2 linked regions of the Caenorhabditis elegans genome follow. The protein of the gene in region 1 purifies or fractionates together with the protein of each later gene. This does not show direct contact. Each region holds a gene or a part of one and is shown on either strand. Other genes may lie near its edges.

Evidence for each region.
Region 2: the proteins of thoc-1 (region 1) and crh-1 purify together in Caenorhabditis elegans (affinity purification with western blotting; one study listed by BioGRID). This does not show direct contact.

Annotation. Positions count from the first base shown.
Region 1 is NC_003280.10:698,699-710,046, forward strand, and holds thoc-1 (Death domain-containing protein), read left to right. Parts: upstream 1-3,408; 5' UTR 3,409-3,416; coding exon 3,417-3,487; intron 3,488-3,532; coding exon 3,533-3,672; intron 3,673-3,717; coding exon 3,718-3,836; intron 3,837-3,889; coding exon 3,890-4,008; intron 4,009-4,071; coding exon 4,072-4,150; intron 4,151-4,202; coding exon 4,203-4,309; intron 4,310-4,673; coding exon 4,674-4,782; intron 4,783-4,888; coding exon 4,889-5,038; intron 5,039-5,207; coding exon 5,208-5,317; intron 5,318-5,660; coding exon 5,661-5,876; intron 5,877-6,936; coding exon 6,937-7,047; intron 7,048-7,262; coding exon 7,263-7,346; intron 7,347-7,466; coding exon 7,467-7,623; intron 7,624-7,736; coding exon 7,737-7,843; intron 7,844-9,591; coding exon 9,592-9,910; downstream 9,911-11,348. Other genes in the region: T02H6.11 (Cytochrome b-c1 complex subunit 7), read right to left, coding at 1,930-2,034, 2,083-2,160, 2,210-2,419; T02H6.1 (WD_REPEATS_REGION domain-containing protein), read left to right, coding at 10,691-10,759, 10,808-10,909, 11,053-11,163.
Region 2 is NC_003281.10:11,679,566-11,687,737, forward strand, and holds the start of crh-1 (CREB homolog crh-1), read left to right. Parts: upstream 1-3,396; coding exon 3,397-3,863; intron 3,864-5,644; coding exon 5,645-5,738; intron 5,739-8,172. UniProt on the Caenorhabditis elegans protein: Transcription factor. Transcriptional activity probably positively regulated by phosphorylation. Modulates expression of target genes, acting by binding to regulatory cAMP response elements (CRE).

The sequences.
Region 1 (11,348 bases):
AGACCCATCGTGGTGAGACCCACCGTGGTGAGACCCATCGTGGTGAGACCCATCGTGGTGAGACCCATCGTGGTGAGACCCATCGTGGTGAGACCCATCGTGGTGAGACCCATCGTGATGAGACCCATCGTGGTGAGACCCTTCGTGGTGAGACCCATCGTGGTGAGACCCATCGCGGTGAGACCCATCGTGACGATACCTTTCGTGGTGAGACCCATCGTGGTGAGACCCATTGTGGTGAGACCCATCGTGGTGAGACCCATCGTGGTGAGACCCTTCGTGGTGAGACCCTTCGTGGTGAGACCCATCGTGACGAGACCCATCGTGACGAGACCCATCGTGGTGAGACCCATCGTGATGAGACCCATCGTGGTGAGACCCTTCGTGGTGAGACCCAAATTTTTGGCGGGAAATTCAAATTTTCAGTGAAAAAAATTTTGGCGGGAAATTCAAATCAGTGAAAAAAAATTTTGGCGGGAAATTCAAATTTTCAGTGAAAAAGTTTTGGCGGGAAATTCAAATTTTCTGTGAGAAAAATTTTGGGGGAAATTCAAATTTTCAGTGAAAAAAATTTTGGCGGGAAATTCAAATTTTCAGTGAAAAACATTTTGGCGGGAATTTCAAATTTTCAGTGAAAAACATTTTGCCGGGAAATTCAAATTTCTGAGAAAAAATTTTTGGCGGGAAATTCAAATTTTCTGAGAAACTTTTTGTTAGCTTAAGTACCACCTGGAACTGGCGAGACCTATCGTGGTGAGACCCTTAAAAATATGGGCGGGAACTTCAAAATTTATGAGAAAAGAAATTTTAGCGGGAAATTCAAATTTTCTGAGGAAAACATTTGGCGGGAAATCCAAATTTTTGTTCTGGAATCAATTTTTTTGTTTCAGCACCTTCTGGAAGTTTCAAGAAAATTCTAGACTGTTCTAGAATCATCTGGAAAATTTAAAAAAGTTCTGAAATGCTCTACAACCTCCTAAAACTGTAGGAGTTTTTATTTGTTTCGTTACATCTATATTCAAAGAACTTACTATTAGTAGTTAATTATTCAGACTTCTCCAGTTAAGGAAAGTTGTTAACTTATTAAAAAAACTGTAACCCTGTGGAATTTTTTCGAAAGCCTGATAATGATAATGTGTAGTAGAAAAATCAGAACATTCTAACTGTCTCTTTGAATTTTCTGAATAGTATACCATGGAAGGAGAAAATGCGATTTAATCGATGAAGTTTCAATTTTTTTTAATGAGACATTTTTGAATGATTAAAAGGACATCTATTTGTTATACATTTTAAACTCCGCCAGTCGTTGGCCGCGCCGGAGGCGCGGTCATCGGCTGGTTATCGAATAAAATGTCACGATTTGAAGTTTCGAAGTTTGTAGTTTGTAGTCTAGCAGACCAATTTTCAATACATCTCTGGAGTCACTTGGATTTCTCTGAAAAATATTTTTTAAAAATGAGGAATATTTGGAGATTAGAAGTGAAAATTTTGTAAAAATTGCTTTAAATCGAGATTTTCCAGGCTAAGGAGTTAATTTTCAGTGAGAAAACCGTCTGAAAACGCAAAAAATCCAAGTTTTTCAATTAAAAAACCCATTGGTCTGCTAAATCGAAATTTGTAGTTTGTAGCCTAGCAGACCCATTCTCTTCAAAATCACTTGGGTCTGCTAAATCGAAATTTGTAGTTTGTAGCCTAGCAGACACTTGAATCATCTGATTTGTCTGAAATTCTGAAAAAATTCGCGTTTGATTTGACTGTGAAACAACAAAAAAAAATCGAATTTCTAACTCAAAATTTACTCACAATTTCAAAATTCACACGATTTTCCCGCTAGAATGCCGAGAAAAACGTGGTTGAGAGAGGTGATTTAACAGAAAAAGACGAAAAAAAAGGGCGCGGAAAATTATAATTTTGAAGAATTCGAAGAATCTAATGTTGCTTCATTTGGTATGGTGGAATGAGTCCGGATGTCTCGGCGCGAGCCTTCTTCTCTGCCTCGATCTCGTCCAAATATGGCTTCAAGTACCACGATTCCTGAAGAAAAATAGATTTTTTAAAGTTGAATTTCGAGTGAAAAGCTACCTGATCCCATTGAGTCCATTCAGCCTTTGGAAGCTTCTCGCCGTGGAGAGCCAAAGTGTGGGCACGTGAAAGACGGATCTGAAGTAAAAAAAGATTGAAAATTCCAATTTTTAATCGATTTTCTCACCTTTCTCTGATCGAAAACGTGTGGCTCCTGGAGATTAAGGCGTCTGAGAGCCTCGGTGACTTCTGGAGCCGGCTCAAAGTAGGTGTCGTGGAATTGGAGCCCGTACTCGCGTCCTCCCCACAAGTTGCTCCATGCGAACTTGCGAAGCGTGCTGGCGATCGTGCCGTTGTAGGCGAAGGTGACGGCTTTTGAGGCGGCTTGACTGGCCATTTCGTTACCTGAAAAGAAAAAAATAAAAGAAAATTAGTGGGGAATTCTGGGGAAAAGCTGAAGAAAAACTGAAAAAATACAAGTTTTCACATGTTTTTCGGGAAATATCGATTTTTAGCTCAATTTCTCGGATTTTAAATGATTTTCTTGAGATTTTTTACATAAAGTCACTTATAACAAGCAAAAAATTAGGCAAAAATGCACAATTATCATTGAAAACTCTTAAAAATCCGGCAAAAACAAAGATAATGCAAAAAATTCTCAAAAATCAGATTCCAAGCGATTTCTCGAGTTATTTTACAAATTTACGCATTAAAACTGTCAGAAAACCTCATAAAGCTGATTTTTGTGCTTAAAATGCAAAAAAAATCGGAATTTCCAGCTAAAAATCAAAGAAAACCGAATGAAAAGGAAAATTATGAATTCGGCGGTGTCGCTAAACAACACGCAGGGTGTTATTTCGGAGCATCGTTGTGAACAAATTTTTGGAAATTAATTTTCTCAAGCTTTCAAGCATTGAGAACCTAATTTTTTGAAGTTAAAATACACATTTTATGATGGTTTTTTCTAATAAACTAAAGAAAAATTTCATAGGAATCGATTAAAGGGAAATTGAAGTATTTTATTTTTAACTAACGCCATGTAGCAGATAGATAATATGTTTTTTCAAAGTTTACTATGTTAAAATACTCCTTAGAACTTGATGAATTCAGATTTTTCACCAGAAACGTTGCCGGATGAGTATTTTGTGAAAAAAAAATAAGAAAATTGGCTGAAGTTTGATTTACGGTAAACAACACGCGCCTCGTTATTTCGGAGCTTCGTTGCAAGTGATTTTTTTTCGATAATTTTTTTTTCGAATTAATTAATTTTTTCATTAAATTGAACCGATTTCTATTGATTTTCTATTTTAAAATTGCGAAAATAAACAAATAAAAAATTTTAGTCGTTAATCTCTCAACTTTCACCCGTCAATTTTAATGTTTTAGGTCAAAAAATGGAGACAGTTATCGAAAATCGGGATTTGGACGGGTTAAAGGAGGTTGTGAAGGCGGAAAAAAAGACTGCGTGAGTTTTTAAAAGAATTATCAGATAAATAATGCAATTTTACAGGAAAGACGACGAATTTGTGCTTCTAAAAGTCGACGGGTTTCTGAAAAAGCGGGGATTCAAGGTCGCCGAGCAGCCTTCAGCCACCAAGGAAGAGCTTGCAAGGCGGCATTTTCATTTTGTGATGAATTGCTCCAAGCTTGGTAATTATTTTCTCGAAATTTCGTTTAAAAATGAGTTTTTTGCAGGTTTGTGCTCCAAAAACACTCCCCTGAGCACTCTACAGGACCTCTTGGAGATGAGCTCAATTGAGGAGTGTAAGCAGATTTTCAGCATAGTAGAAGAGAATATGAACGAGTTTAAGCAGGTAAAAAGCCGGTTTTCAAAGAATTTTCCCGATAAAAAGCGGATTTTTTGCAGCCCGGCTTCATTGAAACCGCCCAGAACAATATTCTACGCTTCTGCAACGATTTGCTCCGCCGCTTGAGTAGAACCGCTGAAACATCGTTCTGCGGAAGAATTATGTTCTTTCTCTCGAGGTAAAAAGCGAAACATTTTCGAAAAATCCCAAAATTTCCTGCGAAAAACTCAATTTTTTCCAGATTCCTCCCGCTAACCGAAAAATCCGGTGTAAACTTTATGGGACACTTCAACACGCTTAACGTTACCAACTACGACGAGGTATTTTTTCGGTTTTTGGACTGAAAAATCGCAAAAAATCGCAAAATTTCAGTCTGAAACCGACGGTGAAGCTCTTCTCGCTGCCACGTCATCGGCTCCAACACCTACGGAAGGAGCAGAGGATATGGAAACTGGAGAAATCGAAGAGGATAACTCAAAGTACGGAAAAATCGGAAAAAAGCGAGAAATTTCCACTGAAAAATATCATTTACCTGAATTTTTTGGGTCTGCTAGACTACAAACTACAAATTTCGATTTAGCAGACCCATGTGGTTTTGAAGAGAATGGGTCTGCTAGACTACAAACTACAAGTTTCGATTTAGCAGACCCATGTGGTGTTGTAGAGAATGGGTCTGCTAGACTACAAACTACAAATTAGCAGACCAAATGGTTTTTTAATTGAAAAACTTGGATTTTCAGCGATTTCAGACGGTTTTCGTACTGAAAATTGACTTTTTAAGCTAGAAAATCGCAGTTTTGAGCATTTTTTACATGATTTTTCGAATATTTGCTCATTTTTCAGAGAAATCCAAGTAACTCCCGAGATGTATCGCCAGTTTTGGTCCCTTCAAAAATTCATGTCAAATCCGAATTCAATATACGAAAAGGAGAAGTTTTTGACGTTTAAAACGGTAATTTTTCGCTGAAAATCACTGAAAATTGAGGTTTTTTGGCCGGAAAAATCGCTGAAATTCCACAAATTCTAACTGAAAATCGCCAAAAATCCCTTTTTTTCAGGATTTGACAGCAGTTCTCACCCTAATGACGTCGAATAAGCTGGAAAAACTCTCCTCCGAAGAGGAAGAAGCTCTGGAAAATCGACAGAAAAAGCAGCAAAAAGGATCCAGTAACGACGTGTTTTTTACCAAATATTTGACGTCTCCAAAGGTAAAATTGGCTGGAAAATTGATGAAAATCGATTTAAAAATGATTGAAAACTGGAAAAAATGATTTAAAAAAGCTGAAAAACGCTGAAAAATGACCAAAATTCCCACTAAATCATCGATTTTCTCCCAGAATTCCCCCAAAAATCTCAAAATTTTTATTTTTTTTCCAGCTTCTCGCCCTCCAACTCAACGATTCTTCATTCCGACGGTACTTTTTAATGCAGGCGATCATTATTTTTCAATATTTGACAGCAGAATCTCGATTTAAACCCCCGGCAAAGTGAGTTTTCGACCGAAAAATCGAGGTTTTGACCTAAAAATTGCGATTTTTGAGTCAAAAACCGTATTTTTTGACCGATTTTCAGCAGAAAATATGATTTTTTGACCGGAAAATTGCGATTTTTGAGTCAAAAACTGCACTTTTTGACCGATTTTCAGTAGAAAATATGATTTTTTTGACCTAAAAATTACTTTTTTTTAAAGTCAAAAACTCTATTTTTGACCGATTGTCAGCAGAAAATATGATTTTTTTGACCTAAAAATTGCTTTTTTTTTTAGTCAAAAACTGTATTTTTGACCGATTTTCAGTAGAAAATATGATTTTTAATCAAAAAAATTTCCAGAAAAATGGTGCTAAACGAGGATCAAGCGAAATATGTGTCAGAATGTGAGGATAAATGCTATAGATTGCTGGCTGATACGATGCCACGTGGCACTGCATTCGTTGCCGGGCTCAAGCGAATTATGCTCCGCGAGCAGGAGTGGAATACGTGGAAAAATGCGAATTGTGCAGATTTTTCCGAAAAAGCCGATAAAGGAGCCATGCAGATGTACAAAAAGTGCGGAAAAATTTGAATTTTTAGCTGAAAATCGTGAAATTTACCGAAAAAAATTGATTTTTAAGCTGAAAAATCGCAGGAAAAGCTGGAATTTCCAGCTGAAAATGTAATTTTTGGCTAAAAATTCCCATTATTGTGGTGAAAAATTGCTGAAAAGAGAAATTCTTGGCGGAAAATCTTGATGTTTGCCGAAAAAAAATTTTTTAAGCTGAAAATTGGAAAAAAAGTAGCAATTTTTAGCTACAAAAGCTGAAAAAACCCACTATTAAGGTGAAAAATTAGAAAAAATTGAATTTTTTAGCTGAAAATCAAGAAATGGATTTTTAACTATTAGATTTAAGAAATTTGGAATTTTCAGCTGAAAATATCCATTTTGTGCTGAAAATTGCACAGTTTCAGCGGAAATTTGAGAAAAAAAAAGATTTTTAGCTGAAAATCTTGAAATTTTCCGAAAAAGTTGATTTTTATGCTGAAAATTAGACAAAGTTGTGATTTTCATCTGAAAATATCCATTTTTGCAGTGAAAATTGCACAGTTTCAGCGGAAATTTGAGAAAAAAAAAAGATTTTTAGCTGAAAATCTTGAAATTTTCCGAAAAAGTTGATTTTTAGGCTGAAAATTAGACAAAGTTGTGATTTTCATCTGAAAATATCCATTTTTGCAGTGAAAATTGCACAGTTTCAGCGGAAATTTGAGAAAAAAAAAAGATTTTTAGCTGAAAATCTTGAAATTTTCCGAAAAAGTTGATTTTTAGGCTGAAAATTAGACAAAGTTGTGATTTTCATCTGAAAATATCCATTTTTGCAGTGAAAATTGGCAATTTTAAGCTAGAAAAGCTGAAAATACCCATTATTGTGGTGAAAAATTTTAAATACATATAATTTTTAGCTGAAAATCTTGAAATTTTCCGAAAAAAATTGATTTTTAAGCTGAAAATTGAAAAAAGTTGTAATTTTCATATGAAAATATCCATTTCTGCAGTGAAAAATGCACATTTTCAGCGGAAAATTGAAAAAAAAAATCTCAAAATCTCAGAAAAAAAATTCCCCCCAATTTCCAGACGGCAACGCATTCCATTCAACCCAAATTCTCTCGATCTTGGAACTCCTGAGCTCACAAAACTCTGGACAAATGAGCCCGATGTGCTCAAAGCCTGTAAATCGGATAAGAGGTATGTAGGCTTGAAATTGGAGAAAATTGAAGAAAATTGCAGAAAATTGCATAAAATTACAGAAAATTACAGAAAATTACGGAAAAATCAAGCTTAATCTCGAAAAATTCCAAAACCAGTTTTTTTTTTGCAAAAATTTAGTTTTAAAAGCATGTTTTATATCTCAAAACCTCAAAATATGTAGATAGAAGCTTAAATAAAAGTTTAAATTCCAGAAAATTCATCCCAAAACTGCCGGATTTCATTCGCGATCCGATTGACGAGATGGATCCCGAGCAGCAAGTCGAGGAGCAGTATAAGTGAGTTTTTGACAGAAAATATCACGATTTTCGACTAAAAATCGCTGAAATTTCATGATTTTTAGCTGAAAATATGTGAAATTTCACGTTTTTCCACTGAAAACCCCCTACTTTTTCCAGACAAATCAACGATAGCGCATTCCAATGGCGAGCCGCCCGTCTCCTAATGCACAAATCTCCGGGATACGTGACAAAAACCGACACAAAAACCGATCCGACGACTAATATCAAGGAATTTTTGGAGAGAAATATGTATAATGCGGCAAAGAATTTTAATGTAAGCCTGAAAATTGGCTGAAAATCAGCTAAAAAACTGCATTTTTTGCCTGAAATTTACTGAAAAAGCGCTGAAAACCTGCCAGAATTTCCCAAAAATCGACAATTTTTCAGGAATTCAAGGAATCGATCGAGAATCGTGAGAAAAAGGAGGCAGAAGCTCGGAAAAAAGTGGAAGAATCGCTCAAAAGGAAGCTCGATTCGTCAAAAGTGAAGCCAAGGTGCTTAAAAACTGAAAATCGGCTGAAATTCAGCTAAAAATCGTATATTTTCCATGATTTTTCAGCTTTTTCCATCAAAAATCAGCTCTTAAAGTCGATTTTTAACTGTAAAAATCACAAATTTCTACATTTTTCCATTAAAAACGGCTGAAATCTCATATTTTTGTTGATTTTTCAGCTTTTTCCAGCAAACAGCGATTTTCAACAAAAAAAAACCGCTAAAAATTTGAGTTTTAACGATTTTTAGCCGGAAAAATCGCTGAAAATGCACTTTTTTCAGAAAATTTCACTCAAAATGTCTAGAAAATATGAAAAAAGATCATTTTTTTAGTGTAAAACCCGTAAAAAATCACACAAACCGCCTATTTTCAACGAAAAATTGGATTTTTAACGATTTTCAGAGGAAAAAACCGAAAAAAGCCACAATTTCCAATTTTTTCAGAATTTTCCGCTTTGAAAATTGCTAAAAATTCATTTTTTGCAAGAATAAACGCGGAAAATTCACTGAAAAAATACATTTTTTGAAAAAAAAAAGGTGCATTTTCAGAGATTTTTCCGGCTAAAAATCGCTGAAAATATTGATTTTGAACGATTTTTAGCCTGAAAAATTGCCGAAAATCCGCATTTTTTTGATGGAAAAAATACGAAAAAATCCAATTTCCCACCGATTTTCGACAAAAATCGCTGAAAATTCACTTTTTTTCAGAAAATTTCACGCAAAATGTCTAGAAAATATGAAAAAAGATCATTTTTTAGTTTAGTATAAAACCCGTAAAAAATCACAAAAACTGAAAATCTCGGCGAAAAATCGTATTTTTCCATGATTTTTCAGCTTTTTCCAGCAAAAATTGACTCAGACAACCGATTTTTAACAGTAAAAATCACAAATTTCTATATTTTTCGATTAAAAATGACTGAAATCTCATATTTTTCATGATTTTTCAGCATTTTCCATCAAAAATCGGCTGTAAAAACCGATTTTTAACTGAAAAAATCACAAATTTCTACATTTTTCCATTAAAAATGGCTAAAAATCGTATTTTTCCATGATTTTTCAGCTTTTTCCATTCAAAATCGGCTCAGAAAACCGATTTTTAACTGTAAAAATCACAAATTTCTACATTTTTCCATTAAAAATCGGCAAAGATATTGATTTTGAACGATTTTGAGCCGAAAAATCGCTGAAAATGCATGTTTTTCAGAAAATTTCACTCAAAATGTCTAGAAAATATGAAAAAAAAAGATCAATTTTTTAGTGTAAAACCCGTAAAAATTCATAAAAACTGAAAATCTCGGCCAAAAATAGTATTTTTCCATGATTTTTCAACTTTTTCCATCAAAAATCAGCTCTAAAAATCGATTTTTAACTGTAAAAATAACAAATTTCTACATTTTTCCATTAAAAATGGCTAAAAAGCATATTTCCCATGATTTTTCAGCTTTTTCCATCAAAAATCAGCTCTAAAAATCGATTTTTAACTGTAAAAATCACAAATTTCTACATTTTTCCATTAAAAATGACTAAAAAATCGTATTTTTCCATGATTTTTCAGCTTTTTCCATTCAAAATCGGCTCAGAAAACCGATTTTTAACTGTAAAAATCACAAATTTCTACATTTTTCCATTAAAAGTAGCTGAAATCTCATATTTTCCATGATTTTTCAGCTTTTTCATTCAAAATCAGCTCTAAAAATCGATTTTTAACTCTAAAAATCGCAGAAAATCCCAAATTTTCCATTTTTTCCAGCCAAACATCTTCTCCGAACCCCTACACAGATACAATTCTCTCGGATGAGCATCTCACCCAGTTGGCTCGAGATTTATCGAAATTTAAATCAAATCTCGCGAAATGCTTTGGCACAAAGCTCCCCGCCGATGACGTCACCAGTGATGAGAAGATTTGCTTTAAAATTCTCAAAAGTTGGGCTGAAAAGAATGGGAGAAGCGGGCGGAGTCTGTTGAATACGCTAATTACCGATTTGGATGTGATTGAGGTGGCTCAGGCGAGCATGAAGGTACGGTTTTTCAGCGAAAAAATGAAGAATTTCAGCGAAAAATCATTTTAAAAATGAAATTTAACGCGAAATTTCACAACAACCACATGGGTCTGCTAAATCGAAAATTGTAGTTTGTAGTCTAGCAGACCAGTTTTCATCAAAACCACTTGGGTCTGCTAATTCGAAGTTTGTAGTTTGTAGTCTAGCAGACCCATCCTTTTCAAAGCCACAATGGTCTGCTAAATCGAAACTTGTAGTTTGTAGTCTAGCAGAACCATTCTCTTCGAAACCTTATGGGTCTGCTAAATCGAAATTTGTTGTTTGTAGTCTAGCAGACCACTTTTTTTCAAAATCTCTTGGGTCTGCTAAATAGAAATGTGTAGTTTGTAGTTTAGTAGACCGCTTTTCATCAAAACCACATGGGCCTGCTAAATCGAAATGTGTAGTTTGTAGTCTAGCAGACCCATTTTGAATTCCTTTTTATTAAAAAAAAATAAATTTTGATTAAAAAACATTAATTTTAAAAATATCGAAATTTGCCGCTTTAATAAATCCTTTTTTTCAGAAAATCAACGAATCGACTGCATAATTCGCCTTCAAATTGCTGTAAAATCGGATTTCTTCATTATTTTTCACTTTAACTTATTAATTTTACCCTTAAATTTGTTTTTTTTTCGGTCTCATTGCCTGTTTTTTATTCATTTTTTCTCCTTTTTTTTTCATATCAAAATTTGTATTTTTACTATTTTTTTCTGCAATTTTTTCTTGTTAATGGCGTTTTTCATCGCCGGTTTTAACTTGAAATTTCTAATTTTCAGATTAATTTTAATGCCATTTTCAGCTTAAAAAATGCCTGCATTTTTTGTAAAAGCCGGCGCCAAAAAGAGCGGCGGTGGAGCTGCAGCGACTAGGAAAAGAGTGAGCTTTTCCTTCCTTTTTTCGCCAAAAAATTAAAATTTTTTATAGAAAAATGGTGGAAAATCGGATGCAAAAAGCGAGGAGATGGCCGCCAAAATGTCACGACGTCAGAAGATTATGGCAGCTACGGAAATTCATTCGGATGAGGAGGTTTATTCGCTGAAAAACTGAAAAAAAAAATGAGCAAAAATCGACGGATTTTCCGTTAAAAATCTAAATTTTTAGTGAAAAACTCTTGTTTTTTAACTAAAAAATTAGAAAAATTCAAATTTTTCAATATTTTCTTGTTCCAGGACTCACTCGCCGGAAGCGCCGCAGCATCAGAAGCCGGAAGTGACGTGGAATACGAGGATGCACACGAGAGAAATTATCGAGAAGCCAAGAAGCTTTTGGACAAGATTCAGGTGAAAAATGACTGAAAATCCGGGAATTTCACATCGAAAACCTGCGAAAATTACGAATTTTTCACCAGATTGACTGCTCAAAAATTCAATTTTAAGCTCAAAAATTCAATTTTAGAGCTAAAATTCATTTTTAAGCTCAAAAACCTTAATTTTAAGCTCAAAAATTCCAGATTTTCAGCCCAAAA
Region 2 (8,172 bases), on another chromosome or scaffold:
AGGTCGAAGGTTTGTTTCTTGTTGCAAAAACATTTGCTCGCTTCTCCTTTTCCATCTCTATGTTTTTCTGCACCTCTCTCGGGCTGCGGCGGTGACGGAAAACCGCAAATTATTCATCTGCAGCAACGTCTTCACGGAAATGAATGGAGCACGCCGCCGCTGACGAATTTTTTTTGTGTGCTCCATTTCTAGGGCCCCCGTTCCTCGACAACTTGTAGATCATTTTTTATTACCCGTGAGACGTCACTTTTTCATGGTGGCCGAGTTTTCTAAATCTCGGCCGGTAGCCCATGAAACTTGCCTGCTACAAATTGGTGAAGCCGATTTTTCGAGAAAATGTGGCCACAAGCCATCCGATATTCCTAGAATCCCCCTTAAAAAATGCACCTGGAGAAGAATCTATTTCCGATGGCATTCACCTCTAATCCTCATCCAATTTTTTGACACCGAAGACCTTCATGATAATTATGAAGCCCTTCGGCGGTTTTTTTTCCGAACAATGAGACATGAACTTCCTGGCAGTGCCACCCGCAATAATATCCTCTTTCTCTGAAAATCAGAAGAGCTTCTCATTTACTACTCATTTGGTTTTTTTTTCTGTTCATCTCTTAGGAGCTCAGAGCACAATAATGCTCTCTGTCTAGAATCTCAGGTGTTCATTAGCGTTTACGGCTCGAGGGAGCAATTGAAATTTGAAAGAAGCCTATAATCTTTTTTGAGCTCACTCAAAAATGCTCTGCAAAACCTTTATGTAAACTGGAGAAGGTGCTGACACACAGAAACACACACACACACACACACACACACACACACACACACACACACACACACACACACACACACACACATATGATCTGAAGCTTCAGCTCCTTGACCATGATATTTGAGCCATTTTTTGGGGGTGGCTAAGCCAGAGAGCCGCCACAAAAAAGATGTGACTTGTGGTTTAAGTGACTGGCTTCTCCCCATAGCCTTTTTGCCGCACATAAATGGAGATTTTAATACAATTATTATCAATTTATTAATCCCCCGGCCGGCAGATTCCAAGGAGCAGAAGTCGATGTGTGTGTGTTTCAGTTTTAGTTTCAGAGCAGCAGGATTAGGAGAGAAGACGAAGAGGCTAACAGGAAATTGGTGACAGGAAATCGTTTGATTTTTTTGTTGAATAGGATTTCTATGCAAACCGGAGTTTACTATTTTTTTTTGTTAAGCTCACAGGTGACACTGATGTCATTTTTTTGTATTTTTAAATGTTCTTTAGCGATTGGTTGGGTGCAATTCAGTTTGCCGATTTGCCGATTTGCCGATTTGCCGGAAAAAATCGCTTGCCGCCCACCCCTGGTGCAATTTGAAAATTGCGAAGTTTTCTAAAATTCTGCAAATTCGGAAATAACCGATTTTAGGAATTATCGGCATTTTGTCATTAAAAGTTATTGGCAAACTTGGCATCTTCCGACATTGCCGAACTTTGTAAAGTGCCACAAGTTGACAATTGGCGCACTTTCAAGCCCAAAAACAATTTGGCGCTTGAAAAAAATGCCCATCTCGGATGTTTTCTACAATTCTGCAAAATCGGAAATAACCGATTTCAGGAATTGTTGGATATAAATTATTACTATTAATATACTATTGGCAAAATTGCCAATTTCGAATCTTTCGGAAAATCGGCAATTGTGGAACCTACAGACTGATTCGACGATCGTTTGAAAAAAGGCAACTTCTGATTTGTTCGACAAACTTGGCCACTCTTTTTAAGTTTTAAAATATTCGGTGAACTGCAAGTTGTTTAATAGCCGAATTCTAAAACAACACTGTTGCCAATCAATATATTTATTTCCCAGAACCCATATCCCCCAACAAAACACAAATTGCGGTCAACTCTATCCAAAGAGCAACATACTCTTTTTTTTTCTCTCTGAAAAGAGGTAGAGGACAACAAGTTGTGGGTGGTGGTGAGATATCTCTTCGTCTTCCGCTCTCTTCAATATCTCACTGAATTACTCGAGTAGAGAGCTGGTGGTGGTGGGGGCGGAGTCAGCAGCCATTACCACCCCCACCTCAAAAGAGGGGGGGGGGGGGAGGAAAAGAAATCTGATATGGACCGTTTTCCCTCCATTTCTCTTCTTTTTTTCAACATCATCATCATCATCTTGAAGGTGGTTCTTGTGCCCCTCTCTCTGTGTATGTGTGTGTGTGTATGTGTGTGCTTGATTTAATTAGAAATGAGCACCCGACCTCCACCCTCAGAACATTGGTTTTAGGTCGTCTCTTCTCTGAATACTAAGCAGATTAGCAGCAGAGAGTCTTTCTGTGCTATTGGATGTTTTGTAATCAGCACAACTTCATAGACTTCATAGATCTTTTTCTATAGTTTCCAAAGTTTGGTTTAAAGAGAATCTCACACCTCTCTTGGAATTTGAGTTTTTTATACAACTTTAAAGGTGGTTTAGTCGAATTTTTTTCATTGCCTTATTAGACTCAAAATTGTCTGAAAACACCGAATTTCATAATGAAGCATCTTGAAAACTTTTCATAAAAAAGTTATGACGGCTCAAAAAATGGCCTAAAATTAGTTAAAATTTGGAATTTGACCAACTTATCAATGTCGCAGCGGCAACATTTTTTTTTGAAATCACCGTTAAATTTTAAGTATACAAGTTGATTATCTTGCGTTTTAAACTTGATTAAGGTTTTTAAAAATCGATGGACGGCGAAACTTTTAATTTTTTAAATCCAAAACTCGCCGTCCATCGACTTTTAAATACCTTAATTAAGTTTAAAACGCAAGATAATCAACTTGTATACTCAAAATTTAACGGTAATTTCAAAAAAAATTGTTTCCAGCCGCTACGACATTGAGAAGTTGGTCAAATTTCCGATTTTAACTAATTTAGGCCATTTTTTGAGCCGTCATAACTTTTTTCTGAAAAGTTTTCAAGAAGTTTCATTATGAAATTCGGTGTTTTCAGACAATTTTGAATCTAATAAGGCAATAAAAAAATTCGACTACACCACCTTTAACCCCGCCCACTTCCTGGTTATTTCGCAGACTTTCTTCCATATTGAGCTATTCTGAATATAAATTTTGGAATTTTTTCTGAACTAGTTTGGATTTTGCGGTGTCAATTAAAGTTTTTTTGTAAAATCACTTTACTGATACTACCGACATTAAGACTATGACCTTGGGATCCTACTAAAGATATCATAATCACTAATTAGACGTTAATCCTTTATAGCAAACATCTAAATGATCAAACTATGATCTTTCAACATTCCCACGATGCCTTGCATTTTTCTCATGTAAGGAGTATGAAGCTTCTCACGTGGCAACTGCAGATCAACAAGCTTTGTTTTGCCAAATATTCACAAATTTGTAGGTACCCGCGGTGATTCATGATGGGACAATTTATATTAGAAATTTATAAGATCAGAATAGTCAGTCAGACACATTTATTCTCGAAATTAATATTCCATTCTTTTTTATCGTTCCTCTTCAATGATTTTTCACATCTCTCCGCTTCATTACCTCCTCTTATTGATCTTTCAACAAAAAAAAAACTTCTCGCACGAGCTTCAGAGGGCGCCACGTCTTCGTCTTCACCACTTCCACCGGCGTCGACGGCGACGCTCTCCGCGTTCCGACCGCCGGCAAGAATGATTCCGCCGCCGGTGGTTCTTCCACAGCAATATGCGCCACTGCCGGGCTTCACACCACTTTTGCCAGCTCAAGCAATGATGGCGAATTTCCCGCCAAATGCGCTCTACCAGTTAGGCACCCCACCGTTCGAGAATGGAAATAATCGGATTCGGTTCAAAGATGCTGCCATGGTCGTTCTGAGCAGACTATCATTTAATCAGAGAAGGTTAGATAATGCACATCAATGAGTCATGGTATTCTCATTAGCGTGAAATTTGAACACATGGGAATTAAAATATTCAAACCCCAAACCATAAGTACTAATCCTCTCGAAAGTTACCTACAAAAATCGTGCTTTTGTATTCAAACAAATAAGTATATATACATATATATATATATCTGCGTTGCGTTATTGACCATATTTATATAAAATGTTATTCAACCTCTGAATTTACATATTACTACGTTTTTAACACAATTATCAACTTAAACGTTCTCAAACTGTGAAAAAGGTTCGGAAGTAGTTTGAGGCCTATTAAAAAGTGTTACTACTTAGTTGATCACTGATATAATTAAAATATTATCCCAAACTTGAGGTTTTTTTGAAAAGGACACATAAATCACTAGTATTTTATCAATTACTCAATAAGAATCTCTGCTGAGCCTAGACCTAGCTAGCAGCCGAGCCTAGCTGCTAAGCCTAGGCATATCGATCAGTTTAGAAAACCAATTGCGACCCGGTTGCTCGTGTCAAACGAGCTCCCATTTCCGTTCCCCCGAAGATAATCGGTTGACCCACCACATTCGAGTTGCTCCGGAGTCCGGATATCCTTCCGGAACACCTTCAACATCTATTGTTAGTGCTCTCCGGGCTCTGCGGAAAAACACGTCGTCGTCGTCAATCAAACGTCATTGACCTCGAAAAGACATTTGGGTTCTCGCCGCTTGGTGCATAAATAAAAAATTTCACACACACTATGATGTGAGCATTTTCGAGTTTTTGTATCAAAATGACGCACTTTTGAGTCAGTTAAAGCCGATTTGAAGCCGCTGTGATGAACTGAACGAAATTAAAACATATAGAATACAAAATGATTACAACAATCAGTCAGAAGTGTGAATAATAATGCTATATAGTAAAGGATAATATAATTTTATATAGATTTTTATTAAAAAATGCAATAAAACATATTAGACATGCCGTACTAATAGAGGAGTACAAGTAATTTAGAAAACTATTGAATTTTCATCGAAATGGTTCTCTCTGGTTTTTAAACTGAAATGATTTTTATCGAAAAATAAAGAATTTGAAATTTCAGCGTTTTTTAAAGGCGCATAGGCGAAAAACGCAAAATTTAGCAGCTGAGTATTATTCAACCCATTATATTCAACCCAGGGATGGGCTACAAAGGATTTTTTTTCCGGAAAATCGGCAACTTGCCGGAATTGAAATTTCTGGCAAAACGGCACATTGTCGGAATTTAAATTTGTGGAAAATCGGCACATTGCCGGAATTTAAATTTGTGGAAAATCGGCAAATTGCCGGCAATTAAGATTTCCCGCAATTTGCCGAATCGCCGAATTTGTCGACAAAAAAATTTGTGAATTTCAAAATTGCCCATCTTGCTAATATTTATTCGTCACTCATAAAGTAATTAAAATTCTATTTTTAAAAATTTCTCTCTCATCGCGACGTAAGAAAACAAGACACAAGGTGTTGTACCTGATGACGTCACTGATCATTTTCGTTCATTTTTATCAGCGATTATCAGTTTCTCCACCGTCTTTTTTTGCCACCCCGCTGACGTCATAGTTTACTCCTTTTTCCTTCAGCGGCGCGGCACTGCAAGAGATGCGAATTTAAGTTTTTTTGTTTTGAGTATTATGCTTTTGATGGCTGAAAATGTCGACGAGCTTGTTGTCCAGGTAGGGTGATAGTGATTGAAATTTTTTAGGTTCTCATTTGAAATATTAAAGTGTTAAAAATAATAAAATCAATAATTTCAGCATGATCCTCAAAGATCTAGAAACGGCGGATAAGGTGATGAAGAAGGAGCCGGAGGAGACGCCGCCGTCCAGTGTAGATGCTTCACCATTACAGGTAATAAGGATAGTCTAGAGCAGGGGTGCGCTGGGATATTTCGGCATTTTCTGGGTTTTGAAATTTTTAAAAATTAGAAATTTCGGAATTTGATGGTGTTTTTAAAATGATATATATATATCATTTACTATATATAAAGCGCTTATTCCGTTTGTCCATAGTTTGTAGTCTATGTAGTTTTTGTAGTCTGTGAAGTTTTAGCTTCTGGAGGGATAGTGAGTTGGGCTTAGTGTAGGGATATAGTCGGGGTACTGTAGTGGTACAATAATGGTACAGTAGGAATACTGTAGGGTTACGGTAGTTTCAGAAAAAATATTTTTCAGCCCCAGAAGCCGGGGGGCTTCCATGGTAGGCAGGCTCGGTTTCAGGGCCTGCCTGAAACCTGCCCGCCAGCCTTTCGCCTATTTTCTGCACTTTGACGTGAATTTTCAAATTTGCAAATTTCTATTAATTTGTTAAAAATCAAATTAAGAAAGGAAAACAATGTGCATTGTTGTGAGGCGAGAGGCATGCCAAGGCCAGGCAGGCAGGCGTTCTAGCGCCTACCTAGTTAGTTGCCTTTGAGAGTTTTGAACTAGAAAAAAGTTGGTCAGAAAAAAAAATTCCTGACTTTTTTTTTGAATGAAACCTTAAATTGTAGAAATTGAAGGACTAAACAAGCACGTAAATATACAACACTAACTTAATTTTTTTGTTTTAAATTTAAATTCCATGCCTACGGGTTTCCGTGGAACGATTAAAACATAGGGAATTAATATGAAAAAAAAACACTGAATACACGAAAATTGAAAATAAAAAGGATGAGCAATCCTCATTGTATATTTACGATTAAAGGTGGTGTAGTCGAATTGTTTTTATTGCCTTATTAGACTCAAAATTGTCTGAAAACACCGAATTTTATAATGAAACTTCTTGAAAACTTCTCAAAAAAAAAGTTATGACGGCTCAAACAATGACCTAAAATTAGTTAAAATCGGAAATTTGACTTGCCAAGCGTCTGGAAACAATTTTTTTAAAATCACCGTCAAATTTCGAGTATACAAGTTGATTACCTTGCGTTTTAAACTTGATTAAGGTATTTAAAAGTCAATGGACGGCGAGATTTTTAATTTTTTAAAACCAAAACTCGCCGTCAATCGATTTTTAAATACCTTAATCAAGTTTAAAACGCAAGATGATCAACTTCTATACTCAAAATTTGACGGTGATTTCAAAAAAAAAAATGTTTCCAGCCGCTTGGCAAGTCAAATTTCCGATTTTAACTAATTTTAGGTCATTTTTTGAGTCGTCATAACTTTTTTCTGGAAAGTTTTCAAGAAGTTTCACTATGAAATTCGATGTTTTCAGGCAATTTGGGCCTAATAAGGCAATTTTAAAAAAATTCGCCTACACCACCTTTAATAGTAAGGAAGGACTAATGCTAAATATTCCTATACTCTTTTTTTTCGAACTTCCAGAAAACCACACCTTTTCTAAAACATCTGCACGTCCAACTCCACCCTCACCTCGAAAATGTCAGGGTCTCCTGAAATCGAATTTAAATAAAAATGAAGCATTCAAAAAAAAACACCTGCATCTAATTCAATACACACCTGGAAAAAGTTTCCTTTCTTTTTGACATTTAAGCTTTTCGATGTTTAACTGAGTATCCTAGGAGAAGTGACAATCGAGGAGGTGGGTATTTAAGTAGTTACGGGTTAGGAGATTATGGAAAAGTGTTTAGATATACTTATTCAGCTGAGCTAGAAAAATAAGAATAATGATATTATTTAATGGGGTGAGTTTTTTTTTTTTGGTGTTAAGAAACATTTTTTTTTTGAACGTTGGAGAACTGTTTTAACTTTAAAGGGCCGGTCGGCAAATCCCGCGAATCCCGCAAATTGCCGGTTTGCCGATTTGCCGGAAATTTTTAATTCCGACAATTTTCCGATTTGCCGGAAATTTTCAAATCCGGCAATTTTCCGATTTGCCAGAAATTTTCAATTCCGGCAATTTGCCGATTTGCCGGAAATTTTCAAATCCGGCAAATTGGCGATTTGCCGGAAATTTTCAATTCCGGCAATTTGCCGATTTGCCGGAAATTTTCGATTCCGGCAATTTGCCGATTTGCCGGAAATTTTCAATTCCGGCAATTTGCCTTTGCCGAAAATTTTCGATTCCGGCAATTTGCCGATTTGCCGAAATCTTTCAATTCCGAAAAATTGCCGATTTGCCGGAAATTTTCAATTCCGGCAATTTGCCGATTTGCCAGAAATTTTCAATTCCATCAATTTGCCGATTTGCCGAAATCTTTCAATTCCGAAAAATTGCCGATTTGCCAGAAATTTTCAATTCCGGCAATTTACCGATTTGCCTAAATCTTTATTCCGGCAATTTGCCGATTTGTCGAAATCTTTCAATTCCGAAAAATTGCCGATTTGCCGGAAATTTTCGA